Mytilus edulis: one gene and its partners. The protein of the gene in region 2 purifies or fractionates together with the protein of the main gene of each other region. This does not show direct contact. Links are inferred from orthologs where the notes say so. Each region holds a gene or a part of one and is shown on either strand. Other genes may lie near its edges.

Region 1 (7,229 bases), on a different chromosome or scaffold from region 2:
CACAAGTCAGAGTTTTTACCATTTTGACATATTGTTTTTAAATGTTAACAACGACGACCGTAAGAGCATACGATACAGTTTTGATTCCATATTGAAATTTTGATGAACATTTGCATATAGGCTATTTTTTGCCTGATTAAATCAAATATGTAATAAAAAAAAATGTATACCTTCATGTATTACTTTTTGAGTAAAATAAGGTCCAAATTTTATATTCGGATTTGTGGACGTATTTATCCTTTCGACAGAAATACATAACCTTTTAGTTTTAAAGGATAAACACAAGCTGTTTTTTGTTAAATCATTTGTAAATTCTGTTTTATATAAATGTCCTTTAATTTTGTGCAATTTGTTTTTCAAATAACTCATATTTATTAAATGTTCACGAATGTAGAAAAAAACGTCTACTTTGGCTGCATATTTATCAAATTTAAAAAAAAATGCACTATTTACGTTTACATGAAAATTGGCACACATAATCTTCTTACGTAATCAAACCAAATGGCATTTTAAAAAAGAGGCGTCCAAGAACTCGTTTACAAGTTAGATAAGATTGAATGATAAAAATCAGTCGAAAACTAAATCTTTTCTCGATAAGTCATAGTTTGACGTCTCGAAAATAACAATTTACGTTAGCAACGTCATCCCCCCCCCCCCCCCCCCCCCCCCTGGTAACTGTATCGTTTGCCCTTAGCTGATTGATGGTTGGTTGTTTAAGTATTGCTTTTAATTATATACTATGTAACAAAATTGTTGATAGAACATAAAAAACAAGATATAGTAAGATTGCCACTGTGAAAAAACTCTACACAAGAGACCAAATGACACATAGATAACAATTAAACTATAGGTAACATTACGGCGTTCAACAATGAACAAAACCCATATGATAGAATGTCTGTATGATTTCATTTTATTTCCTCTAGTGAAAGTCTTATCTGATAACAATAAACCTTATATTACTCTGGAAGCAGTGTCGCACCTCTACTTTCCTTTTAAAGAAAAGGTATTTAGAATACTCAGATAGAGTATGACAAAAAGAGTATGAATCAAATATAATGATATTAACGTGCTTATTAGTAATTTCTGAATTGTGGACGCTATTCTAAATATCTTTTTTAAAATAATAACACATATTATGCATCGTAACATTACCTTCATTTCAATCCTTGTTAAAAAAAAAATTGCCTTGAGAAAATGCTTCGACATTTTTACTGGATGATGCTAAATTTGAATTTGAATACCGACCAGAATCATAAACTCAGAAAGACAGCATTATGAGTTGGATACAAGGCGAAGTTTGCATCTAAACTCATATTACTGTAAACCATTAAAAAAGTTCATGCATAAAAAATCTAATCACTTGATGACGAAACGTATCAAAATACCATGGTGTAGTACTTCGCAAATTAAAAGATATGTTTGCATGATCAAATTCAGAACACTATACATGTTTTAGTACATGGTACCATTATATTTCAGTACCGTTGAGATGCAACCTCCTTGCCAACTATTACTAAAGTGGAATGTTGTATTCTCGAATGATTGTCAGACCGTAGTAATATATAACGCCTTTTTTTCACAACAACATTTTATCTTATAAAAGCTGCTTATCATCTTCCCAGTACTAATATCATCTATATCTGGATATAATCTTCGGAATAATTACCGTTTCAATGGGATCATTTAATTAGTACGCTAGAACGTACAAACAATTTCATTTTTTCCGAATACAATATAGCAATGGAATGTCACCCATGAATCAAAACTCTGCAAACTGAGAGGAGTATCTGACATTCTGGGGAGTAGGATTTTTCTAGATTGGTCTTTACATTCATCTGTTGCTACATGCATATAATGCTTATTTTTCCAGCGGCTTTTGTATACGCCTGTATTTTGTGTTGCACAATATTTATTTTCATCATATCTAAAGTTGTGCAAAACTATTTATTTTCAGTTCTAACAAGTTATTTTCAAAATCCTCACCCCCTGGTAAAATGAATTGATCGTCCCCTCATGTCATACCTTTCTTTCAAGCGAAGAACATCGGAATGGGAATCTGTATCTGTATGGGTAAAGTATGGGTATGCATGGGCTTTATTACTTAGGGGTGCGGATACCGCAAATCATGAGTCCTGAGTGCAGCTATATATATATTGCTTGAAGCTTTTGGTTGACTTGACTGCAGTCACATTGCTATATAAAAGATTGTTCCAGCTAGTCGACAGCAGTTCTGATGAAACATGAGCTTTTAAATTGGTGGTTTGATGGATCTTTACTGTTTGTGTTGATGCGGGATTTAACATCTTTCCACAATTTAGTCTTGGATTTTTTGGGGGTTTGTTTTGGCATCTTTTAGTTTTGGATAATGTAGAAGTCGGCATCAATGATACCTGACCATCAACCACCCTGTAGATAATTATTTACCTGTCATTTTTGTGATGCATCCATCATCTCTTGATTTGTAGTCATTATTGATAAAACGCGCCGCCCTTCTTTTTACAATTTATAGCTGGTCATAATTATGCAGATTGCTCCATATTTCAAAATCTAACTAGGGATTTGCATTTGTTTTCCGTCGTTCTTTTAAGCAATGTTGTAAATCAAAAAATCAAAAATGTTAAAGATAAAGAATATGTTTGTCTTGACATAAAACTGCTTATATTTCTTTTAGATATTTAAAAAATACATGATAGCCGATATAAAAGATCATTATGCCGGGGAAATACTTTACTTTACCTTTGCATTCCATCATCGCAAATCAAACTTGTGACCCTTAAGTGCCATAGCGTTATGGACGATGAACGACTCAAGGCGATTAAAAATCTTTGATCAAAGAGAAACATATAAAGTTAAGGCGTTAGACATGACAGTCTTCATCAGAAAAAAACCTTCAGCATAACTTCGGAATAACATCTCAATGTCATCCGCTGTACACTTGTCTCCTTATGGTGAAATTTTGTAATGTTAGCCTTAGCTTGTATCTTCCGATGAGTTTTATTCACTTATTTGGCTTTATTACTTTTTTTTATCTGAGCGTCACTGCTGAGTCTTATCATGTAGACGAAACGCACGTTTGGTGCATTAAATTATAAGTCTGGTAACTTTGATAACTTTTAGCATGTACTATTGTATTGTTTATTTGTAACGTATATTTCTGCGTTCTAAATGATCTAAGATATAGGAAGATGTGGTATGAGTGCAAATGAGACAACTCTCCATCCAAGTAACAATTTATAAAAGTAAATCATTATAGGTCAAGGTACGGCCTTCAACATGGAGCCTTGACTCACACCAAACAGCAGCTATAAAGGGCCTCAAAAATTACTAGTATATAACCATTAATGAAATATTTTCCATTTCAATTCAATATTTATTGGAAAGAGCACAATAGAGGCGTGATCCAAATACAGACAATAGCATTATTAAAACAACATATAAATGAAATATAGATGCATGTAACAACAAGTTGTAATTTAAGTAAATTCTATGGGTACCATAACATTCTAAGTATATTATATGAATACCATTACATTTTAAACTGATATTGATACCATACACATCCCGATTATTCAAAATTTTCATAATTTTACTTTAATAATCACACAATCACCAGGGGCGGATGCAGGAATTTTCGAAAGGGGGGGTGCTAACCTAGGGCACCCAGGGCAAAGGGGGGGGGGGTGCAAAACATATGTCCTGATACAAATGCATTGATCGGCAAAAATAAAGGGGGGGTGCGCACCCCCGGACCCCCCCCCTTGGATCCGCCACTGATCACCTATAAAAGATAAATGTGTAAATGCATAAACTACTATAAAGGATAATTATTATTTTCTGATGAAACAGTATGGTGGTTTCTCAAATTAAGAGCTTCATTAATGTACATACAATTAGATTTTAGTTCTTTTTCAGACATAGGACTTTTCAAATATATTTTAATAATTCGGATATAAATATATTAGACCATGAATTTTCTCTTTTTGTGAGAGTTTTGTCCACTTCAAAAGCAGCCTTGAGAATTTCACCAGACCTTTCACCAATATCACTGAGACGCACATAGTATTTATACACAAGTTGATAACATTTAATGCTTATGGGTAATGTGACCATTTCGCATCGAACTGCTAGATTGGAAGACTTTCCATGAACCCCAAGTATGTTTTTAAATATGGAGTTTTTTCTAAAATATTTAAGATACGGAATTAAATCCGTCATTGCGTCAAGTTTATTGATTCTACGCATCAATCAATGACGTAAACAGCAAGCACATTTTCTAACCATACGGCAATTTTTTCCTAGGACTGCTAAAAAAGAAACTGAAACAGATTAATTATGAGCCAGTTTAAAGTTACCACAAGTCGTGATGGCAGACGTGTATTTGGAGGTTTTTATTATTATCTAGCTAAATATCTTTGACTTTCAAGGCCAATGGTTTTATAATTATACACGGTTAAAAGAATTTGTGCACATATTTTCAGAAAACATTGTTTGGGCACAGGGGCTTGTTTAGTGGCCTGTGGTTTGGGTTATGCTTATGGTTAGGGACATTATTATATATTTCGATTAAATATGTTAACTTATAGACTGTGTCCATATCGGGGACTTTATATGTATAACGTAACGGTACCCAAATTGCACCGAGTACCCAAATTGCACCTATAATAATTTTAGCAAAACTAGCAGCGAAAATCTTACAAGATTTTCTAGAGACTAAACAATTTGTTTTTTTTATGATTTGATACTAAGCACATCTTTCAACATAGGTAAAACTATTTAGATATGCACAAAACGTTCACAGTATCTATCAACAGATGAAGTATTTACTGAAAAAGCAAAATGTACTGAAACGTCGCGTCATCAAAACGTCATCTTTTTAAAATGAACAAATACAATATGTTACAAGTATCCATTTAAAAAATAATGAAGAGTAAGCTTGGACTAATGTCCAATTGTTCAAAATATTTAAAGAAATTAAACAAAAGCTCTGTTATTAGACTTTTGACTATGTGAATTAAAGCATGGAAGCAATTTGGGTACTCCTCATTTCAGAATCATTGATGGTTTGGAGGTCAGTTTAGACCAATTTTTCTATGATTCCATATGGAATAAAAATCAAATTGGTGTACCTTTATAATAAAGAAAGATAGGGCTACAAAATAAACACAGAATGGACATTTTTGTTTTCATGATAAAAAAACGTAGATGAAAAAACTGTCAAAATAGGTGCAATTTGGGTACCGTCACGTTATATGTAAAAGGTATCATGAAGTGTAGTCATCCATGTAGAGTGTAAAGGGCCTTTAACTTAATTAAAGTACTCAGTAGTGAAATGTACATCTTCGCTAGCCAAGGGTTACGATCCACTCTCGCTCTCTGGAGTGGATCGTAACCCTTGGCTAGCGAAGATGTGAAATGTAGTGCCAGCGTCTATTAGAATAAAAATAATTTACCCCAGAGCTCCAGATAAGCTGCGTATTTGCGTGATCACGCAATACAAATAATTAAAAACCAATGCAATTGCCCATTGCAGGGGATAATATAGTTATCAATGTGCTGATGGATTGTCGTATGATGTAGATATAGTTCTTAAACCCAATTCATCCAAAGGAAAACCCAATTATATGCGAAAACCTTGAGTTCTTCACACTTTTATTCGTTTTCGTATGCGTTATTTACCCTGAGCTGATTACAGTCGTCTGCGTAAATCTATTTTTATAATATTTATAATTTGAAATATCCTTTCGTTCTAAAAATAGAGCGTTGTGCATCAAGTAGTGCCTGTTGGAATTTTCCGTTGCTCAAATGGTACACATGTTTATGAAAACATTTCAATCTTCTTGGCATTTATCCAATTAGCGTTTGTCATGTTGTCATATTCTTTCTGGAATTGCTCAGGATTTATCAAGTTAATGTCCGGTAAAATGAATAAAAGCATGTTTTCATCTTCTTTTTGATAGCTGAGGGAAAGTTATGATGATAACAAGACTCAGCTAGTGTTTTTAGGAAACTGTCATTCAAATGCACGGTCGTGTTTGCGTACCTTAACAATCCGATAAACCGGGGGTTATGTCGAGAACATTCAGATGTAGGTCTACATAATATTTGATATATTTTATCATGTTTATATCAAATCTATTAAAATTGAAAAAAAATCCATTTAACTGGTTAGCATTTTTGGGTATTTGATATTCGGTCCTAGACAACACTATGCTGAATAGAATGTACTCAAAGCAATGGAGGCTGGAAGTGGGACTTCTGATATAACTTTGATATTTTGTTATTTAGACCACGATGACCGATGGACAGACAATGGCAGAGGAGGTCATGGTGGTGGACAAAGATCTTTTGGAAAACGAGGTGGAAGGAAGAATTATGGGGGCTTTAATAGAGGAAGTGGTTACAACAGAGGTGGTATGTTGTCTTTAATTTTAACATTGGTGAAATTTTAATATTCCAAGAATGAAGTTTTATAAGATTTGTTACCCTTATGTACATGTATCAAGACTTCTAATTATGATTTCAAGTTTGTTTTGATTATTTGTATGCCCCACCTACGATAGTAGAGGGGCATTATGTTTTCTGGTCTGTATGTCAATTGGTCCTGCTTCAGGTTAAAGCTTTTGGTCAAGGTAGTTTTTGATGAAGTTGAAGTCCAATCAACTTGAAACTTAGGCCTTAAAAAAAAAGATATGTGTTTCCGATAACATCATTTTAAAAAATAGGGTCGGTAGGTCGGAATTCTTTTTTTTTTTTTGTTTTTTTTTTTTTTTTGACATCGTAAATGAAATCCGGAAAATTATCATGGTTTTTCCAAGTCCAGATCCGTAATTAGTTTCAAAAACCGGAAGTGTGCCATTTGCAATGTTTTTGAAGCACCTGTTGTGCAAATTTCTTGGATTTTAACCTATTTGGAATACCTTTTGACATTAATAAAATGTTTTACTGGCTTTCTATGCAAGAGGAAGCAAGAGAGAAAAAATATTATGTCATCTATCAGAAGCCTGTGTCAAAAACAGGGTCGGTTGATAAATTTTTTTTTTTTTTTTTGGAAGATCCAATAAAAAAGTTAGGGTCGGGGCTAAAAAACAGGGTCGGTCGGGTTACCGGAAACACAGGTCTTTTTTTTCTCGGCCTTAGTACACATAGATATAGGAAGATGTGGTGTGAGTGCCAATGAGACAACTCTCCATCCAAATAACAATTTAAAACACATGTTCCTTATGATA
Region 2 (7,199 bases):
AAATAATAATACGATGCAACACTATCCTTCCAGTAAAAGCATTTTTATTTTGACTTTCTTTGCATTTTACTCAAGAGTGTGTCACTTCAATATAGCGAAATCTGGTTGGTCGCTGGAATATGCATGAATTTATTATTAACGATTTCAATCAGCCTTAATTTTTGTGTCTGCTCAAAGTAGCATGTTCTCAAATCCGATTGAACGTGTCTTTCTAATACAACACAGGGTACATATATAACGTGTTGTCGTTTTCATATGCACATGACATTTGTCACTGGACGTTTAGGTGGTACCCAACACTACAGGGAGATAACTCTGTAAAGTCAGTGATACGTTTTAATTACGTTGTGTTGTAAAGGGAATAATAAGCTTCTCGAAGATCAAAATTGGTGTTTGTCAAACTGCTATATAACCAGTTAATTTTTCTGACAAAACGGTTGGTTCAAATTTTTTGAAATTTTTATATTTCTGTTAAAGGTTCAAATTAAATACTTGTCAAAATTTTATCCAAATTAAACGAACCACATTGATTTCAGTGAAAGTGTTCGGTACCACCTTAATCCTAATTCCTCAGCATCATCCAATTGTTTTTTTTCTTGTATTACTTAATCATCTGTTGTTTACAAATCATTCTAAAGAAGTAAATGGAAAGAATCGAATGCAGCTACATTTGGTTGTATTAGAATTTAATTCATTTTATTCCGTTTAGTTCCCTTTCTACATATGTGCAGAGGAGAACTGCAGGTGTCCACATGTAAGCGTCAAGCATTTGTCACCAATATGAGTACATCGCAATCCGTTACTGTTTCAACACCCAGGGGGTTTCATGTCTTTATTCTTAAACAAATTGTTTTCTTCTCTTTTTTAGCAATGCATCACTCTCTACTGTCCTTATCTTTTATTTTGTATTCTGTATCTCCATCCAGATTCTCGTGTATACCATGAGGGTACGGATTGGGGGGTGTTGTTTATTTCTGTATTCTTTAAATAGTTTTGTTACTTTTCTCTACATTTTATTTATCTTACCCATTATTCTTTCTCTATTCTTTATATTTAGGCATCCCAATATACTGATGTTTAGTTACATTACGACGTTAATCTCTGATTTATATACTGGTTACCAATGTAGATGACAAATTGGTGTCATTCATGACAATTAAACAGAATCCACATGATATATGCGACCATTTTCGGATAAAAACAATTTTACTTTAATTTAACACTTTTTGAAACCATTTTTATCAATTTTCAATATCCATTGCCTACATTGTTATTGTTCATGTGTTTTGTTCCGTATATTTTATATTCCATTGCTCATGTTTTGTTTCCGTATATATTTTATGTTCCATTGCTCAAGTGTTGTTTCCGTATATTTTAGCCGCTTGTCTTGAGCCTACCAAATGAACACACCATAAAGTAATAAAATTATACTTTTATTGTCATTCATAACTCTTAACAGACTAATTAACAGACCGGGTTTTATACATCCGACCCATTAACAGACCAGGTTTTTAATAAAGATTGATTTATGTCACCAAAATACAGATTTTCGTGTAGATTTTTCACAAAATGATATCAATTTGGTTGACACTCATAATGCCTGTCTTTTTTCGATGTTCAAAATAGTGCATGCAAGTAAATTCAACCCAAATGTCATTTTGTGTACATTTTGTGTGTGTAAAATGTGTATAAATTTACTGATGAGTAATTTGCCTTTTCATTTTATAGATCGTACATAGAAGCTAGAAAAATAATAATTACACCACAGGATTCAGTACATTGAATAGTTTTGTCAGACATAAATATTTTTTATGATAAACATATATTTAAAAGGTTATACAATGAAACATTCTGAGTTTTCAATGATTTTCTCGATAACACCTGATTAACAGACTTTAGCCAACCCGATTAACAGACTCACTGCCGATATAGCCGCATACTCAATATAGATTAACCGACCAATCTCTCGGTTAGCCGAGTGTCGGCCGTGATACTAGCGTCGATTTTTGTTTTCCTTTTTTGTTTTCCTTTTTTTTTTTTTTTTTTTTTTTTTTAAAGTTATCGTTAGTGTTATCCAGATCATCTGCTATGATGGAAACTTGGGAACTACGCTTATAGTGTCTAAATCAGTTGACAACTTTAAAATATTTTAGTTCCAAATTTTCTGTTAAAAAGTGTGGGATTGTGAAAAAATCACCTTCATCTATTTTTTTTTACTGTATCAAGATTTTGTTCATGGGCGACTGGACTGGTATACGGGCGTTTTTCAATAAAACTGAATTTCAGACACAAAAAAAAATGGAAAATCAACTTGTTTAAAATTTTATTTCGAGAGTTATTTTGAATACCTCTATTGTAGACCTGTTTGTATATAAAAAGTGCAATCTTAAATACTCTTTAAAATGATATTATTTTCTTAATTTATGTACTGTTCCGTAGGGGACTTTTGTCCACTACGAAACTGCTTCTAAACGCACATCTTACTGCACTTTAATGTCTTCTATAGACATTCCAGTTTGTTTTACTTTATATACTAGAAAGATCTAATTTTTGTCTGAATTGGAAAACCATTTTTTATCGATAAAGATTAGACAGTACTTCACATATGAAGGTACAACTCATGTTACGTAGTGGACATTTTGATGAGTTTCGTAGTTGACAAACCCGTTTCGTAGTTGACAAAAATTTCGTAGTTCACATCAACCCTATTCTATGTTGATAAAAACATACTGAAAATTACATGAAACTAACTCTTGTTATTTGTTTTGCGCGAAATAATTGAAAAAAAGAGTAAAAAAAAGACTGCATGGTAGTGGTAGTGTCCACTGCGAAATATAGATTCCACAACTATTTCTCCACTCGAGACAGTTAAATTTTAATATTTAAAGGGCGAGGCTTGTCGAGCTTTTGAAATAATTAAAATTTAACTGTTGAGAGTAGAGAAATATCGTAATACACGAGTAATTACAGTGGTGGAATCTGTTTCTCTTATGATTTTTATCCTCCCTTTTCAAAGATTTGAGAAAAGTTGTGTACTTTTGGTGTGACGTCATCAGGCACGGTCACCTTTTTTCATTTTTTTTATTTTGACATAAATTCAGTGTAAGAATTAAGTTTCTAGGGACAACATCAAAAGACCAATGTGCATGATAAAGCAAAAACGGAATTCACATAGTTAAGTCTGTGGCTGCTGTTTTTTTTAAAACTCATGATCAAGTTCACAACAAAACTACAGTCCTAGATTACAAAAAGAAATGCAACACTAACAGAATACAGAAGGGCAATCAATGAACAAAAGACAAATAAATACATGAAATAAGAAACATTGATCCCGACAAATCAGGGCTACGTCTGAGGAAAAACAGAACTTGCTTTTTGCAAGGGACTCGCCGTGAACACAATTTGATATGGAGACAAGTGTTTGGTTTTGAAATTTCCTACATGAGGCATTTGCCTCAATGTAGTTAGGCATTTGCCTCAATGTAGTTACGGCCCAGTTAAAATAAAAGTGAGGCAAGGTTTCCTGAGACAATTTACCTCAAGTTAAATGAAACCAATTTTCAGACATTTCACATGTTTCAAGTATATTTGAATAATATTTATACTTTTATTATTAAAAAATTGGGAAGAGTTTCCCGATTTTTTTTGGGGAAAAGATGAATTTATGAAGAATCTGGTGCCATCTCATACTTTCGATTAGACCTGCTGAGTTATTTATTTTTGATTGCAAGTCAGGTATTTTATTTTCAAACTACCACAGAACAAACCATTTATTTTTGTGATTATCAAGGCCAAGTTATTTATTTTCAAAATCCTCCTGCCCCCTCCCCCCCCCCCAGAATATCAAATGGTCGTCCCCTTAATTTAAATATTAAAATTTTAATAAGATTGCAAAAGTTCAAGCTGCCGGGGCAGCGGCGAGATTAGCGATAATGTGTATTGATTATGGACTTTCCCAATTGATCTTCCTCTAAGTTCAGTATTTTTGTGATTTTACTTTTTGAAAAACGACCATATGCATGCCTCTTTTAAATTTTTAATAATTAAATATTTTTTAATCCGCATTAATATTATTATTGTTGTTGTGTTGTTGTTGTTGAGCACTTATATCCAAAGGAGTTCCAGAGAACTGATATGGGTCGACGGTTTTGATCGAATAGTGGCGAAAGGAATTTGGGTCGAATAAAGGTAGATCTGCTGAAAGAGTTGACGTCCCCGTAAACAAGAGTAGGTGCTCTGCTAAATGAAACTGCTTTACATCTAATGAAGGCATTCTAAGGTCATATGACATTGTTTGAATATGTGGTATTTAGCCGCAGTGTTTTTGTAAATATATAAATGCCAAGGAGGATGACTGGTTACAAACAGTTGTACGCATTCGTTTGCAAGAGAAAGTCTGGTTTCCCCAGTAAATTATTTTAAAACTCAAGTTTAATCTTAATATTCATCATTGATCATCGTGAATATCTTAGTTTAATAAATTATTTTATATAAAGCTTGCTAACCAGACAAAGGTAACTGCCAATCATGCTAATAACTGAATACCACAGGCACTTGTTTCTATCCATAGGAAGGTCGACTATCCATATATATAAACAGATAAATAGATGGATAGTCGACCTTCCTATGGATAGAAACAAGTGCCTGTGCTGAATACACCTCATCACTATTTCAGGGGGGTTCTGATTCCAGATTACTCTTATTGTTTTGTCAGATTCCCGTATCCCGCTTTAATAGTCTTTATGTACCGTGTAATTCTTGTTTTTTTGTAATTTCCTGTGTCCCGCTAGACTTTATTTCCCGTTTTCACAGCACAATAATTTTACTCTCAAGTGTCACGCTTACAAAAAAATGGCAATCCTGTGTCACACTTAGACCACAATGACTGAATGAGACCCACTTTCAGTATTTGGAAATATATGTGCTGGTTTACCTGAGAATAGCTCGAACTATTGACGTCATACAACAATCAATTATCAATTATCCATTGTGGCATCAGATATTTTGTATTATGATGTCAAAATTTTATGTAAACTTTTGTGATGTCCTGTAATAATGCGGACTAATAGGGATAAAGTCACATGCACTTGCCTTAAGATAAGGTGTATAAGGTACATTTGTATCTTCATTTTACACTTTGGGGTATTTAGCTGAATTTGCCCTCAGAATGACCCTAGCTGGATCTTGTCAGTCTTTAGTAAATAACCATCTGAGGTCATGCAAAAATCACTTTAATTAGGCCGTTCATGGGACATATTATGGTATACCATTAAAAATGAATTGTCTATCAGTCTGTTCGTCCTCAACTGGTTAAAAAAGTTGTATCTTGTACTGCACAGAATATATTGGAAATTAAATCTAATAAGTTGGTCACCCTCGCTTCAGTCATAAGGAAATTAAGATTACCTACTTACGAAACATAAATCATGTAAATTATTTCTAGACTGTAGCTTCCATGCAGAATTACAATGTATGATTGTGAAATTGCTTGAAACTTTAATAGCGCAGGGATACAGGCTCGCCTTAATCTTCTATCTGGTACATTTGTAAATGACATCATAAAGGTATGCAATATTTATCATGGAGGACATGACTCCAGAAATGATGTATAACTAAAAATGTCTGTAATATGTAGATGGTCTATATATTAATTATGAGTTAAATTGTGATGACCAATTTGGCTGAAACTTACTTGTAACTTGATTTGAAGTAATCATTACTAATGACAGGTGTAAATGAATTACATTAAGACCTCAAAAGTGCTACTATAGTCTCTTTAATATATTCATTTGGTATATAAGTAAGTCTGTTCAATTCGTTGCAATAAGGTGAAATGAAGGCACTTACTTGAAAAACCAAATTACTGTCCATAATCATATAGGAAACAATTGATAACCATGGATAACTGTCATTTTGTTCAACTTGGATGACATTTTTTATCAAACCTTAAGGTGTTACATTTTAATTAAGACTAATCATGCTAATGTGTGTGTCAATTTCTAATCCTTAAAATTTCCTCCAAATATTTTTTTATACTTCAAAGTTGGAAGTACTTAAAATTATGTGTCAAAATACTTTTAATTGCAATGCTGACCAATGTTTTCTTTATCCAGTATAACATGTTCAAGTCAGTTTGTTAACAAATATTATCATGATTATGTTGATGAAATGATGACTTACTGGGGGCATGGAGGAACGATTGAGTAATGCATATAATTTTCTAAAGGTTACTAACTTGTGTACACCTGATGACTACAATAACATAAATAAACAGTGCCGTGTAGTGGTGAGGGATGGGTATTGGACGAAGAATCTGCTTTATGGATATATGTCTATTTGAGTCTTTAAAAATGCTGGTATGAACAAACAATACATTTGCAAGTATATATATACATGTATACATTACATTGTACATAATCTAGCAATTATGCAGAGAACAAATTTATTACGATTATAATAAACAGTGGTATTTTTCATAGATCTATTATTTTATGATTTTTTTGTAGATGGGTGACGTTAAACAGTTTTTATATGCTTGGTGTGGGAAAAGAAAGGTCACACCATGTTATGAGTTTGGCCAGACAGGATCAAAACATAAACCAAGGTTTAAATGTGAGGTATGTCAATATTTTGGAATTTATTAATGCATGTAAAACATTACAGCTCCTTTCCTAGCTCACCTGACCTATTACATGTTTTACAGGTAAGGAGTTGGCATAATTAGTCATTTTAGTAATCATAATCAGACTTCCACAGTAATCGATCACATTGCTTTAATGACTTATTTAGAGTTTACATCTAATTTCCATTATCAGATACTAAGCAATTTACAAATGAACATTGAAAAACAGTTTGTTTAAGTAGCATCTAGTGTGAAATTTCAAGGTTCTGTGGCAGCAAAGTATTTGACATGGATTTAAAAATGATTTGAAAAATGTTGGACGATTTTTGAATCCCTGTCAGATATTTTTGCAGATACTGATATCATGGAAATGGTTGTAGTAAAAAAGTGTTAAAAATTGACAAACATATGCCTATTGTAATTGTATATAATTTGTTTACCTGAATGACGTCTTATTTATTACCCACTATAGGGTACATGCCTATCACACAGTCATCTACATTTGACCTTTCATTGCAATGCTTTGTTTTAAAATCATATGTTTGGAATTTATGTGTCCTGTAATTTAATGTGTACA
Region 3 (7,811 bases), on a different chromosome or scaffold from region 2:
TATACTATCAAATTTTCAAGTGCTTATAAAGTCAAAAACTTCATTAGAAGTTGTGGTCTGTCATATCTTAAAGCTTTCTGCTATTTTGATACTAGAGTGTATTTCTATTGGCATATTTTTGACTCTGTCTGTTGTGAAATGTATTGGCATTTTACATAGAATAGTAAGTTTAAATATTGTAATTTGTATAGACATATATATATATGTTAATCTATAAGACTGTATTTTGTTCTCTTGTAAGTCCTTTTATAGATCTACATGATAAACAGTCACTTATTATTGTGTGGACCTTTACCTGAACTAGATCAAATGGAATATGTGGTATGAAGGCTCTGAATCTGTAAAAAGAAAGAAATATTTTATCCCTTTGTAAATTTATGAATAATATATTTTCATTTGAAAAGAATTCATTCAGAACTAAACATGTTCAAAAATATGTGCACTTGTTTCAAATTGAAACATACAATTATGTATGCTTATAAAATTGAATTTCATCATGAGTTTTAGTTATGCATTTAAAAATAGATACATGTACAACAAAACTATTGTTTAGACATCTGTCTTTTGTTTAGGAATGTATCGTTATTGACATCAAGACAGGTTTCACTTTTTGAGTGTTGTTTTCAGTTGCTGTCTTGAATGGTAAATTCATTGACAAATAAAATATAAATCCTTTATCTGTATCTAGAATTTCACTCCGTATTCCTGATGAAACTAATGAATACTTTTTATAATTATTCTTCCCACTTTAAACAAAACTTTTAAATTTCTTCTGGCCTCTTCTACATATCAACCAAAGGTCACAGATTTTCCAGTATCCACCTCTGGTGTGGGCTTTCCATATAGTCAGGGTGGTGGAAAAAGTGAAATTGTATTATATTTTGGCTCTGTAACAAACAAAGATGGATTTCAGTTTATATTTTGGTACCTTGTTTTCTTCCAAGAGATTTTTGCTAGAGTAGAAGGTGCTTGACCTTTAGATTCTGATTTTGACAGATAGGACCACATGTACTTCAAATTAATTTCATAAAAAGTTTACATCTAGCTATATATATATAGTGTATCATACAAGTACCTCAATAATGACCATTGTATACTTACGGTGGTCTTGGTCCCATGGGCCTCATCATACCACCTCTCATTGGTCCTCCTCTTCCTCTCATGTGTCTAAAATATATATCAAATTTAATTAACATTGTTCAATCTTAATTTCATCTTCATTAATAAAAAAAAAACATCCTGCTAAAATTTTTATTTCTACATACACACTGCTTGCATAAATTCAGCACTCTGTCATGTATGTCATGTACAACTTTAGAATACAAATGTATCTGAATTTACAATTAAAAACTAGATCCACTAATCAAAAAATATCCTTCAACATATTTGTGTACGTAATTAAATACAGGTGCATCAAATCTGTATTCCTTGCGAGTATTTGTCTAAAAGGAGTCAATTATCATAAAAAATGCTTGAACAAGGCAGAAAGAGGTTTTGAGATCTCTCCATAGGTAATTATTGAAGTGAACTGAATTGATTGACATGGACAAGAGATACATGTAGCCAATAGATACTTGACAATAATTTGTGATTTAAACTGTGTACCTGAGTGGACCAGATCAAGTGAAACTTGACAGTTTGTTAATTTTATCATCTGATGCAGGGACGAATAAAAATGCACTGTAAAAAAGTTGAATTTTTAATTTTCGAAACATACAATGCATTTGAATTTTATCAATAGAAAATTTTGATAATTTGGGTAACAGACTGGTCCACATGAACCTTAACACAAATGCTTATGATGTGATTTTCATCAACAATAAAAAGAGATTTTCAAAAAAATTATATTTTAGTTTGTGTAAATCTTGGTAAAACAATAGTCTTTTGTTGTTATATATTTGAAGAAACCCTGTAACACCTTAGTCAAAGTTCAGAAATCGATAGGTCTCTGTGAAAACTGTTAAAATATGGAAAAATAAAGGTTGGCAGGTAGGTGAAACTTACATAAATGAAAAAATAAATGAAAAATGAATGATGGCCGATTTATATAATTCCAAGGCTGTCAGTCGGCACCAGAAGTGACAAAGCAGCACATCTATTTTGGGTGGGCAAATATCCACTTTTTGATATGGGACAAGCTCTGACATCCCACGGTCTCAGCTTGTCTGGCAAAACAGCCGTTGGACGTCAGAGTAATCTCAGACTAATGACAGTCATGTTCATACTCTTCACTTCGCTTCAGAGACAAGAGTAATTTACTGTTGTTTACTGTGTCAGGTGTTCTGAAATTGAATCCCATTTGTGCATTACAAAAAATTATAGTGTCACCGTAGCTATTTATTAGAGAACAGTTATATACTAGTACTACACTATATGTTGTGTGTACTATATATTTACTACATTCATTCATACATTCATTCATTGATGGACAGTTAGAAAAAGACTTTATTCTATATACTACTCTGCACAAAGTTATTATGCATACAACCCCGCCACTTTTTCTAGCACTATATATACGGTGAACAGGTACTAATGCGAGTTTCACACACTTTAGCATGCACGCTACATAAGGGACACCTAACTTTTTCCCTACTTTCAGTGTGAAATAAATGGTTTGCAACATTGTATTTTGTCACATATTCAACGCCCTATTTACAAAGATTAAGTGGCCATATTACCCTGTGACAATAGAGGTAAAATTATCTGGCTCTCATTTACAAACATGACAAATGATCATAAATGTGATTGTCTCAGACTTGAAAATTATGTTGTTGTTGAAAGGAAAATGCAAAGAACAGTACGAATTGTTCTGTTGCCAAAAGGTTTTTTTCAAGAACTGACGAATATTGGTAATGTTTTCTGTACATAAATATCAGCTTAATCAAATACTAAAAGACATAAACCTCATTGTTTTTGAATGCCGGCTCACGTTGTTTACGTCCGGATGTTGGTGAATGCAACGCACGCGTGAAAGAACATTTTTCCATGGTTTCCCGGAAAACCTTCCTTCCTCCGTCCGAACACGATTTTACACACCATATTCAATTTCCGGTTGTTTTTCACTCGTGGGTTAAAAAAAAATAAACAGCAGAAAAGGTGTTAGAATACAATAAACAGCAGAAAAGGTGTTAGAATACAATAGAAAAGGTAAATTTAGGTGATTATGGAAGAAAAACAAACAGTCAAGTAAACCCATCAGAGCACGAACATGAAGAGAAGGGATATTGCATATGCGTCATTGTGACATCAACCAAACCGTTAAACCGATGCAGGACGTTTTGGCACTGATATAAAAAAAAATTCGGCAACAGTCTAGTCCAAATTTATAAATCATGCTGTCTAGAAAGGCTATTTTTGATTTTGCTGTTCCGCCTTCCTGGTGACTTGTACTAGCAACAGTCCTATTGTCGCTGAAAGCTCGACATAGTAATAGTCATCAGGCGGCAGCATTCATGGCGTTAGCTAACTCTTAAAAAGATTTCATTTATAGGAGGTGGAAGACATTGATGCTTCATACTTTGTATAAGCTATATAGATGCCTTACTTTTTTGTAGGTTACAAAGTTTTTGTCTGTCACATGTCCATTGTCCTTGACCTCATTTTCATGGTTTAGTGACTACATGTACTTCAGGGAAAAAAAGCTCTGATTTTTTGTTATGTTAATTTCTCTCTTATTATGTTTAATAGGATAACTATATTTGGTATACATGTGTGTACCTTGCAAGGTCCGTCACTCCTCATGCCCGTCGGTCAGAGTTCACTTGACCTCGACCTCATTTCATGGATCAGTGAACAAGGTTAAGTTTTGTATCCTTCGTGTCCTTATCTTGTAGACAGAAGGCGTTCATGAAAAAAAAGCCATGCAAGATGTCATAATTATTTGGACTAATCCATATGGACCATAATTTGGTATTCGGCCTTTGGTTTCTTTTTGTATCCTTTTTTATAAGGTCTAAAATTTTAACTTTTATTTTGTGGGTTGTGTTGGTGTTGGAATAGTATGAACGGAACAATTGAGTTTTTCGAGAAAAAATTAATACATTTTGATTCACCGTTTATGTGACAGGAAACCAAACAGGAAACCAATCTTTATTATCTTTATTTTGCACAATATAATTCAAAAGGCATAAATAAACACCATTACTAGTGTTACTTGCTTCATGTTAATATTTAAAATCTATTTTCAATGTTATATTAAAGTTTTTTTTAAATGTGACAGGAAACCATAAGAAACCGAAAGCATTTTTTTAGTTTTATTTTATTGCAAAATCTGCTTAAAATAATCTGAACCGTATACTTTTTCTTAAAATCCATCTTAAATTTAACAGTATTATAAAACTCCTAAATATGTGCTTGTTTTCAAAACAATAAGTACAATTTATTCAGGAATTTCCATATTTTCTTCATTGATACAGGATACCATAATCGTTGTTTCTTGATGTTTTAGCCAAAAAAATGTATTTATATTTGGTTTTGAAATTCCAGTTATATACAATTTATTCCAAATCATTGGCAATGTAACATTCTTTAAATCCAGTAAAGAAAAAACCTTTTAACTTGGAATTAAAATCTTTAAAATAGGCACAATGTGATACTTGTGACCTGTACACCATCTACATGGTTTCCACATTTTAACCTACTTTAGTGGGCTAAAATCAATAAAGTACTTCCTTTCAAGTCATGCATGGTAAAAGTTTACTTCTCCTTTGACAAGTTTATTGCGTTTCTGATAAGTGTTTGCAGAACATGAATAAAAAATATTAATTAAAAACTGTGACAAGATGCCAACTTTGTACATTCCAAGTGTAACGGTATATTAACATGTATTTTTTATTAAATTATATTTATTCACCTAAAATATCCAGTAATATTTACTGCTGAAGTTAAATCAATCCAACGAGCATTGGTACAATGATAAGAGACGTAATTTCGATTGATTTTTCCAAGGACTCTTCACGTCATTATCGGGAAACGAAGTGTGTTCTAACGTCTGTCAAATATTAAATCGATTTTGTCAAGTCATTGGGCATTTATTTTCACACAGGATCGTATGTAACATTATGCACATAGGAAAAATAACAGACCACCGGCGCAATCTCTTTGACAATTGTATTTTCCTCTTTTAAACAAGACGAAACAAGTCTACAGATTATGTTTGCTAACATCCCGTTGGAAACAAAAACAATGTTTAGACCTAGTATTTCGTACATCCGGCCGTAATGGCGTTATCACATGTTAGTCACATGTTTCACGTATGACCGGAAATGATTAGAACTTAAGGACAAAAACAATTTTAATAAATAACTGGACTTCTGTTTCGTGTGAAATGTAACGCATAACGCTAACGTCATTTTCTTACTTAATTATTACGAAGATCAAAACAAGAATGTAAATCAACTCTGATTTACCTGTTTGAACATCTTGCGAGAGTTCATATTTGCATATTGTTTTTAAGAATTCTATTACAACAAAGCAGATTACATCATCTAAAATTTGCGTTACGAAATCGGACACAAAAATCACGCCACTGTTCTTACATCTGCTACATAAATACTTATAGTTCTCGGCATTTTCTTCTCACTATTCTTATTGGTCGATGTTCTTTGTTATTTGAAAGCAAAAGTTACGAATTTGCCGGTGACGATTATCTATAAATCAGTCCGCGTTATGCTCTTCGGAAGCAAAAAATAACGTGAGAAACGACACAAAAATACGGTTGTAGAATCTTTGAAATTCGTATATTTCAATTTTTTTTCTAGGGAAGAGTAGCATACACTTGTATGTTGATAAAAATAATGGCATCTTTAGATGTAGTTACAACTTTTCTTACAGTAATTCACATTTTATCACTTTTCTATAGTTATAGGAAACGGAGCCCAATAGCAAATTATGGTCCATATCTCAGATACTATAAGCAATAGGTCAATAGTACATTTGGTTTATGGAAGGATTGTTAGGGGTACATGTCCATTACTGGCAGGTGTCATCTGACCTTGACCTCATTTTCATTGATTAGGTTACAGTAAAGTTTTTGTTTTTTGGTCTGTTTTTCTTATACCATGTATACTGTATGCAATAAGTCTACTATATTTCTTCTTCTTTAGATTTTCGTTAGTCCTTCATTATCTGAAGATTATATACTGTTTTGCGCTGCGTGGCCTATATATACATGATATACATGTATATTTACAAAGCACAAAAATAATTGAAAATGAATTTGGAGTGTGTAAAAATAATTTTAAATTGTGATTAAAACTATGTACATAGGCTTATGATGAGTTAAATAAATTTGTGGAGAACAGTTGGTGTAAGCTGTACTCTGAATGTGTGGACTGTGGTCACAACAACTGTATGGATGGTAGATAATTCCACTGATTAATGATGTACGGAAAAAATGAAAATTTATATGTATCTTTTTTGGTAGAAATATGTCTGAAAGTGAAACTATGATTTTTGCAGGTTATACTGTCTGATGGTATGAGGATAGCAGATGGGATTGCTATGATTTGATGTACTATTTTGATGAACAATCTTGTGCATAATCTTCTTTCCTGTAGTGTGGGTCAGTTTAGTGAGTTTATCATGTCTGTAGGACTACAAATGTTATGGTACCTGTTACAGACGTACATTTCTTGCAGCTTGTCTTTGAACAATCTCAATTTTAGAGGTTTGTTCAACTGTGTGAGTGTCCCATACTGAACAGGAAAATTCAAGCTAAGACGAACTAGTGCCAGATATGCGTGGGTTTTGATATTCTGGGATGATGTTTTAAAATTTCTTTTAAAGAAGCCCAAAGATTTGTTACCGATTAGCTATGATGTTGTCTGTGTGTTTTGACCATTTTAAGTTTGCTTGTTACATAGCGTAATGCCCAGACAATTAGCTTAAGTGACTAGTTCAAATTTGTGATTGTGCAGGATATAGTCATGTTTAAAATGTTGTTTTTTTTTAGATACTGTAAGGACTGTGCATTTGTCTGGATGGTAAGCCATCAACCAGTCTTACTCCCACCTAAAATAGCTGAAAATGCAGATACAAACATCTATGAACATGACAAAATATTAACAATAAATGATGATTTAAGTTATAAATTAATTACTTTTTAGTTATGAAATTTAATTTATAAATTTAAATTAAAAAAACAATGAACTTTTTTTAAATTTGTGTATTTCAGACAGCATGTAAGATTGATCCAAAGAACATTTATATAAACACAATGGCAGATGAACCTTCCCTGGATTCATCACCAAGTATGACAGAAATAGAGAGGAAAGTCCAGGAGCTGGAGGAAATGTTTAAAGACAGATACACAGAGAATGATGAGGATTACATGAAGACAGTGTCAACCCCTTTACCTGACCCACCATGCATCAAAAACTGGTTTGTCAGGCAGCAAAGAGGAAACTGGAACAGGTACCAGATTAGGTTCCATTACATTCAACCAAAGAGATGTGATATGATTGCCAATGACATGAATGAGACAACAGTAGCTTTAAAATAATGCACTACCAAATCATAGTACGTCATATCCAGTTGCATACAAAAAGCGGTATTTGAATTTGACAGTTGTTGGAAAAAGATAAAAATTCTGCACAATTTTTTTAATACAAATAAGTGCAAATTTAATACTAATAGGGAAAAAACAATGGTGGTATGAACACCTTTCCAAATGAAGCTGATTAAAGAAATTATAGATCACTGTACAGCCTTCATAATTGAGCATTAAGCATGTTAAGTATATACTGTATAGTTAGCTAAAACAGACTTTGATTGGACCATATAACATGTATAATTTATTGACAAAACGTGAA
Region 4 (7,891 bases), on a different chromosome or scaffold from region 2:
TTGAGAATGTAACGTCAGATTTGGACGTCGATTCCACTATTATGTACAGTAGAGAATGAAGGAATACTACAGATTGGACAGTACCTTTAAGTATTTTTTCTTGGAATATAAAGATGTCTTCCCCTTTCAATGATTAAAGAATGTCTTTGATTCATTGTGTACATGAAAGAAACTTTCATAAACTAAGTTTAAAAGATTCCTGTTATTTTGCAAGCACTGATTATAAATTCTTTGTTTAAACAACTATTTATAACAACAACTGAAAAGATATATGACTATCATAAATTCTGTACAAATATCTTTAGTTTTGTCATTATACATGTAGGAGTTCTAGAACATTGAAGCATTGAAAATTTTATTAACAATAGTATTTTCCATACCTGCCAACCTCTTAAACTTTCAAAGAGGGAGATCTATCTCCCACAGCTATGACAGCGGGAGGGTATCGGCAAGCGGGAGATTTCCCGATTTTCGCCATCTGAGTGGGAGTCTCCCGCTCAAAACGGGAGGGTTGGCAGGTATGGTATTTTCTGAATATGATAAAAGTATACAATTGACAGTTTATCATTTATCTAATATAATAAAGTACTATTAAATAATTTAAGTGTTTAGGTAAATCAAAAGCTTGTTTGCTAAAAAAATATATTTAACATAAAAAGACAATTCCGCGGAACCCAGTGTCTCGCCTACTTTTGCTGTTAATCACACACTCATCAAAAATGATGAAAAAAATCAATAAAATTATTCCTCTCAATACTATCTTTTGATTGTCAGAAGCTTCTATCCAAGTTTGGTAAAAATCCAGGCTAGTTTAAGAAACTTAAAAATGTTTAAAACTAAGTCCATCTATAAGTAAAATACGGGAAAAAGGGAATTTTATTTTTACAAAATTTACTTCTGGATACTATCTTCTGATCATAAACAAGCTTCTGGCCAAGTTTCTTACAATTCCAGGATAGTTTAAGAAAGTTATTAAAATTTTAAAAACTTTAACCAGAGTGAATTTAATGTTTCCTGGCAGAAAAAACTAAGTCCATTTATAAGAAAAATACGGAAAAAATGGAATTTTATTTTTACAAAATTTACTTCTGGATACTATATCCTGATCATAAACAAGCTTCTGGCCAAGTTTTGTACATTTCCAGGATAGTTTAAGAAAGTTATTAAAAATTTTAAAACTTTAACCACAGACATTAACAGAGTGAATGTAATGTTTGGCAGAAAAAACTAAGTCCATTTATAAGTAAAATACGGAAAAAATGGAATTTTATTTTTACAAAATTTACTTCTGGGTACTATCTTATGAACATAAACAAGCTTCTGTCCAAGTTTCATACAATTCAAGGATAGTTTAAGAAAGTTATTAAAATTTCAAAAACTTTAACCACAGAGTGAATATATGTGGACGCCGCCGATGACGACGACGACGCTGACGGAATGAAGGATCGCTATGTCTCGCTTTTTCGACTAAAGTCGAAGGCTCGACAAAAATGTTTCTTTATCAAAACAGCGCATCTCACAAATAAAGTCACCCTATAATCGCATGACTGATATTAGTGTTTCATTAGAGACGGAGTAGTTGTTGTTTTTTTTCTATTAACCCTTTCAACGCTATACACGGCATATGCCGCGATGACGTACGCCGTTCGCCACTGCTATTCGCGGCATATGCCGCGATGAAAAAGGATTTTTCATAAGGACTCTTAAACCATTCGGTTTTCATTCGGGTTCTCTCTAATTTTTCCTCGTTTGAATCTAGGATATGCAAGGTCTCATTTGCGCTTGAAATCCCGACAATTTTTATAGTAAAATCATGCAGTAGAAGGAAAATAGAAGGAAAATAAAAACAAATATTTTGACAAATGCAAATGGCGGAAATCGGAAACGAAGCTGTAAATATGGAAAAATTTCAGCATTTCCTTGGCGAAACTTACAACGAGGATTAGTTAAAAGGTTTCTTGTTATCTCATTGTGTTTATTACATAAAATTCGTGTGGGAAATATGATTTGATAGATCATTACGAGACGTAGAAAAAGGGGGGGAAACGGAGGTTGACTGAAATTTTTTAGGACGGAGCTATTTATTTGTGCCACGATTACATAAAACGTTATGTATGGTACAATACGCTACGGAATCGGGCAACTGGTGTCTTCTTTACAATATGGCAGATAAAACAACAAAATAAATGAAGACTAAAAGTAGTTTTTATTCAAAATTCAACACAAATGTAATAAATTACACCTTTTACCTGTTAATTACCTGAAAACGCAGGTAACCTGATAAAAATTTCAGTAAAATAATTGCCTAACATTACAGTTCATGCTCTCCTGAGCATTTTTCATGCAATAACTTTCTCTGTATCTCATATAATAAAAAAGATACAGCAGTCTGAAAAGGAAAATACTGTTCTAATGAATGTACTAAAAAAAAATGCAGCAGCAGCAGCCATTTTTCTATTTTTTTGTGTAGCGTTGAAAGGGTTAACAATAAAAGTTCTAAATCAAAATGAAACGATCCGTGTTAAAGAAAATCTCATGTATAAGTTTTCTGTTTCTGTCTAGCCTCTTCATAATTTTCACAAAATAGTAAATAATGTCCCCCAGTTTCTAATTGAAGTAATTCAGTAATTGACCCCATTCACACTTGGGATCTATATTTAAATTGATTTTGTTTGAGTAATTTCTTAGGTAGTATCCTAATCTTAAATTTCTAATAATTTTTGTTGTTTAATGATCTGGATAATCATAAAACCAATATTTGGATAAAAAAGGGGGGGGGCATTTTTTTCTTTTTTTTCTTAAATTATTTACTGCATGCAATGTTTAAATTTTGCCAAAAAAAAGAAAATACATATTTTCTTATAAAGACCTTTATATAGTGATGGGAATGCGCCTACGTCCGCATCACAATCATAAATTGCAGATGCTTATTTTTGAAATGTTTTCACATTTGTTTCTTCATTTGCCGGAAAATCGTCAAAGTGAAAGAGTGATTTTAATTGGACAGATTTCTAAAATAAGCCAATGAAAATCCTTGACTTATCATATTTACAGAAATTCTAACAGCCAAAACCCACTGAGGAGATGGATACAAAGAATCTTGTGACAGAAGTAATTATCTATTTTTTGATAATTTAGCCACAGGCCAGCTACTTGATGTTTCTTAAAAAATAAGGTTTTGATCTTAATTTCTAAACATAAAATAAAAAAAGGTTTCAATTTTGAGGGATTTTTTTTTATCATAAAGTCAAAATTTTGCCATTGCCATAATATTTGGCATTGACATTAAATAAAAAATTAAAAATTTAATTAAAAAAATTAAAAAATAAAAATTTAGCTATACTGTCTAAATAAAAATTGGATAATGTTAAAACAACAAAATATCGACTATAATTTCAGTTCTCAGCCAGAGTATCAATTACTAGAATTTATTTAATTTGCTGAATAAATGCAAAAGTCCAATACAGCATTATATCATTTTTTTTCAAATGCTCCCTCAATATGGGAAGGAAGGGATAATGCCCTTGAACACATGAATGATGTTCACCTAAACCAAACTGGCAATGGTTTTTTTTTTGCGGAAATACAACGACCTGGATAGTGGTCTAATATAGTTGATTATTTGTTGTTTTAACAGTATCACATTTTTGTCAAGCCTACGACTTTTATGGCAGAAAGCTTGACTTAGGGATAGTGATCAGGCGGCGGAGGCTACTACGGCAGCAGCGGTAGCTAACTTCTTAAAAGCTTTATATTTTAGAAGGTGGAAGACCTGGATGCTTCATACTTTGTATATAGATGCCTCATGTTACAGAGTTTCTGTCTGTCACATGTGAATTGTCCTTGACCTCATTTTCATGGTTCAGTGACTACTTGAAAAAAAAAGTTACGATTTTTTGTAACGTTTATTTCTCTCTTATTATGAGTAAAAGGATAACTATGTTCGGTATGTGCATACCTTGCAAGGTCCTCATGTCAGTCAGACAGTTTTCACTTCACCTCGACCTCATTTCATGGATCGGTGAACAAGGTGAAGTTTTGGTGGTGAAGTCCATATCTCAGATACTATAAGTAAGAGGTCTAATATATTCGATTTTATCATTTATGGGTAGACTGTAAGGTGTACATGTCCAACCGGCAAGAGTCATCTGACCTTGACCTCATTTTTAAGGTTCAGTGGTTATAGTTAAGTTTTTGTTTTGGTCTATTTTTCTTATACTGTATGCAATAGGTCTACTATATTTGGTGTATTGAATGATTGTAATGTGTTTATTTCTAGCTAGCAGGTGTCATCTGACCTTGACCTTATTTTCATGGTTCAGTGGTCAAAGTTAAGTTTTTGAGTTTTGGTCTTGATTTTTCTAATACTAAATGTATATGCAATAGGTCAACTATATTTGGTGTATGGAACTATTTTATGATGTACATGTCAGTCTCGCAGGTGTTATTTGACCTTGACCTCATTTTCAGTGTTCATTGTTAAGTTTTTGTGTTTTGGTCTGTTTTTCTTAAACTGTAAGTAATAGGTCAACTGTATTTGTTGTATGGAAGAATTGTAAGCTGTACATGTCTGCCTGGCATGGTTCATCTGACCTTGACCTCATCTTCATGGTTCATTGCTCAATATTTATTTTTCTTGCTTTTAAAAGTCTGTTTCGTAGAAACTATAAGCAATAGGTCAACTATATTTAAAAGTGTATTGAATTTGAATGATTGTAAGGTGTACATACATGTATTTCTAGTTTGGTTTATATGACCTTGACCTCATTTTCTTGGATCATGTTAAGTTTATGTGATAGTTGTAGTAAAGCTTTATATTTAGGACATAATATCAAAGATAATTAAAGAAGGCGAGACATTTCAGTGTGTGCACTCTTGTTTAAAAACATATTCTTGGTGATAAATAAAAACCTTAACAATCCCCTCTTTGTTTTAACAAATGTTTAAGTTCTTCATCAGTCATGTCAGTATCATGATTTAATGAAAATCACTTTTAATGAACACACTTTAAATAAAAACCACACATATAATTTCGTTCTAATGTGTAAACACATGTTTGTATATGTTCACTGATGAAACAGAAAGTCCAATGTTCAATAAAAATTACTTACTAACTTACATTTGTTGTACTTACTTACTACTGTAAATTTAGAAATTATTGCGTGCATTCATTATTGGGATTTTGCAATTTTAGACCAAAATGCAATTTTAATTTTTGCGATATTCAGAAAAATCCTATTTGATTCATATAAAAAATTTCAAAATGCAATTTTTATACGACCGCAAAAATTAAAATTTTTTCTTCGTATATTGCTATCACGTTGGCGTCATCATCCTGCGTCGTCTTGCGTCTTGCGTCTTGCGTCGTCCGATTACTTTTAGTTTTCTCACTCTAACTTTAGTAAAAGTGAATAGAAATCTATGAAATTTTAACACAAGGTTTATAACCACAAAAGGAAGGTTGGGATTGATTTTGGGAGTTTTGGTCCCAAAATTTTAGGAATTAGGGGCCAAAAAGGGCCCAAATAAGCATTTTCTTGGTTTTCGCACTATAACTTTAGTTTAAGTAAATAGAAATCTATGAAATTTTGACACAAGGTTTATGACCACAAACGGAAGGTTCGGATTGATTTTGGGAGTTTTAGTTCAAACAGTTTAGGAATTAGGGGCCAAAAAGGGCCCAAATAAGCATTATTCTTGGTTTTCGCACAATAACTTTAGTATAAGTAAATAGAAATCAATGAAATTTAAACACAAGGTTTATGACTACAAAAGGAAGGTTGGGATTGATTTTGGGAGTTGAGGTCTGAACAGTTTAGGAATTAGGGGCCAAAAAGGGGCCCAAGTAAGCATTATTCTTGGTTTTCGCACCATAACTTTAGTATAAGTAAATAGAAATCTTTGAAATTTAAACACAAGGTTTATGACCATAAAAGGAAGGTTGGGTTTGATTTTGGGAGTTTTGGTCCCAACAGGTTTTTAGGAATAAGGTGCCCAAAGGGTCCAAAATTGAACTTTGTTTGATTTCATCAAAAATTGAATAGTTGGGGTTCTTTGATATGCCGGATCTAACTGTGTATGTAGATTCTTAATTTTTGGTCCCGTTTTCCAATTGGTCTACATTAAGGTCCAAAGGGTCCAAAATTAAACTTAGTTTGATTTTAACAAAAAATGAATCCTTGGGGTTCTTTGATATTCTGAATCTAAAAATGTACTTAGATTTTTGATTATTGGCCCAGTTTTCAAGTTGGTCCAAATCGGGGTCCAAAATTAAACTTTAAATTGAGAATGGAAATGGGGAATGTGTCAAAGAGACAACAACCCGACCAAATAAAAAACAACAGCAGAGGGTCACCAACAGGTCTTCAATGTAGCGAGAAATTCCCGCACCCGGAGGCGTCCTTCAGCTGGCCCCTAAACAAATATATACTAGTCCAGTGATAATGAACTAATTTCCAAATTGTACACAAGAAACTAAAATTAAAATAATACAAGACTAACAAAGGCCAGAGGCTCCTGACTTGGGACAGGCGCAAAAATGCGGCGGGGTTAAACATGTTTGTGAGATCTCAACCCTCCCCCTATACCTCTAACCAATGTAGAAAAGTAAACGCATATCAATACGCACATTAAAATTCAGTTCAAGAGAAGTTGTTTGATTTCATCAAAAATTGAATAATTGGGGTTCTTTGATATGCCAAATCTAACTGTGTATGTAGATTCTTAATTTTTAGTCCCGTTTTCAAATTGGTCTACATTAAATACCAAAGGGTCCAAAATTAAACTAAGTTTGATTTTAATAAAAATTGAATTCTTTGGCTTTTTTGATATGCTGAATTTAATCATGTACTTAGATTTTTGATAATGGGCCCAGTTTTCAAGTTGGTTCAAATCAGGATCCAAAATTATTATATCAAAAATTGTGCAATAGCAAGAAATTTTCAATTGCACAGTATTCAGCAATAGCAAGAAATCTTCAATTGCACAGTATTGTGCAATAGAAAAAAATGTTCAATTGCACAGTATTGTGCAATAGCAAGAAATCTTCAATTGCACAGTATTGTGCAATAGCAAATATTTTCAATTGCACAGTATTGCGCAATAGCAAGAAATATCAAATTGCACAATATTGTGCAATAGCAAGAAATATTCAATTGATTGGAGTTATCTTTCTTTGTCCAGAATAGTAGTTGAATCAACTTAAATCATTGTTTTATACAATGCACAATGTATATTCACTTTTACTACCAACTGATAAATTAAAACACTCTTTACCATTCAGTGATAACAAGCACTTTTTGTTACATTTTAATATTTTATTATGTATTTAAATGAGTAGTTATTGTTGCAAACTCCATTAGAAATTTGAATTGAGATCAGTTTTGAAAAAAGGGAAAGGGGGATGTGAAAAAAAAATGGTGGGGGGGGGGGGGGTTTATTTTTCTCATTTCAGATTTCATAAATAAAAAGAAAATTTCTTCAAACATTTTTTTGAGAGGATTAATATTCAACAGCATAGTGATTGCTCAAAGACAAAAAAAATATTTTAAGTTCATTAGACCCCATTCATTCTGTGTCCAAAACCTATGCTGTGTCAACTATTTAATCACAATCCAAATTTAGAGCTGAATCCAGCTTGAATGTTGTGTCCATACTTGCCCCAACCGTTCAGGGTTCAACCTATGCGGTCGTATAAAGCTGCGCCCTGCGGAGCATCTGGTTAATTATTGCAATGATTACCCTGTTGCATTTTTCGCAATAATAAAAACATCACAATAATTTCTGAAGTTACAGTATAATGCATTTTTTTATGCCCCACCTACGATAGTAGAGGGGCATTATGTTTTCTGGTCTGTGCGTCTGTTCGTCCGTCCGTCTGTTTGTCCGTCCG

The links.
Region 1: the proteins of ATP-dependent RNA helicase A-like (region 2) and nuclear RNA export factor 1-like purify together in Homo sapiens (co-immunoprecipitation; 4 studies listed by BioGRID and IntAct, with this or other methods). This does not show direct contact. The link is inferred for Mytilus edulis from reciprocal best matches to the Homo sapiens genes DHX9 and NXF1.
Region 3: the proteins of ATP-dependent RNA helicase A-like (region 2) and interleukin enhancer-binding factor 2 homolog fractionate together in Homo sapiens (co-fractionation; 5 studies listed by BioGRID and IntAct, with this or other methods). This does not show direct contact. The link is inferred for Mytilus edulis from reciprocal best matches to the Homo sapiens genes DHX9 and ILF2.
Region 4: the proteins of ATP-dependent RNA helicase A-like (region 2) and endoribonuclease Dicer-like purify together in Homo sapiens (co-immunoprecipitation; 3 studies listed by BioGRID and IntAct, with this or other methods). This does not show direct contact. The link is inferred for Mytilus edulis from reciprocal best matches to the Homo sapiens genes DHX9 and DICER1.

The regions. Positions count from the first base shown.
Region 1 is NC_092346.1:23,919,886-23,927,114, forward strand, and holds the start of nuclear RNA export factor 1-like, read left to right. Parts: upstream 1-4,224; 5' UTR 4,225-4,335; coding exon 4,336-4,387; intron 4,388-6,288; coding exon 6,289-6,414; intron 6,415-7,229.
Region 2 is NC_092345.1:50,208,115-50,215,313, reverse strand, and holds the start of ATP-dependent RNA helicase A-like, read left to right. Parts: upstream 1-4,175; 5' UTR 4,176-4,227; exon of another isoform or gene 4,228-4,279; intron 4,280-6,506; coding exon 6,507-6,617; intron 6,618-7,199. UniProt on the Homo sapiens protein: Multifunctional ATP-dependent nucleic acid helicase that unwinds DNA and RNA in a 3' to 5' direction and that plays important roles in many processes, such as DNA replication, transcriptional activation, post-transcriptional RNA regulation, mRNA translation and RNA-mediated gene silencing.
Region 3 is NC_092354.1:77,015,009-77,022,819, reverse strand, and holds the start of interleukin enhancer-binding factor 2 homolog, read right to left. Parts: upstream 3,006-7,811; 5' UTR 2,909-3,005; coding exon 2,904-2,908; intron 1,168-2,903; coding exon 1,102-1,167; intron 339-1,101; coding exon 296-338; intron 1-295. Other genes in the region: RNA guanine-N7 methyltransferase activating subunit-like, read left to right, coding at 7,217-7,413. UniProt on the Homo sapiens protein: Chromatin-interacting protein that forms a stable heterodimer with interleukin enhancer-binding factor 3/ILF3 and plays a role in several biological processes including transcription, innate immunity or cell growth.
Region 4 is NC_092346.1:84,422,059-84,429,949, reverse strand, and holds the start of endoribonuclease Dicer-like, read right to left. Parts: upstream 3,006-7,891; 5' UTR 2,870-3,005; intron 1-2,869. Other genes in the region: alpha-ketoglutarate-dependent dioxygenase alkB homolog 6-like, read left to right, coding at 3,085-3,111. UniProt on the Homo sapiens protein: Double-stranded RNA (dsRNA) endoribonuclease playing a central role in short dsRNA-mediated post-transcriptional gene silencing.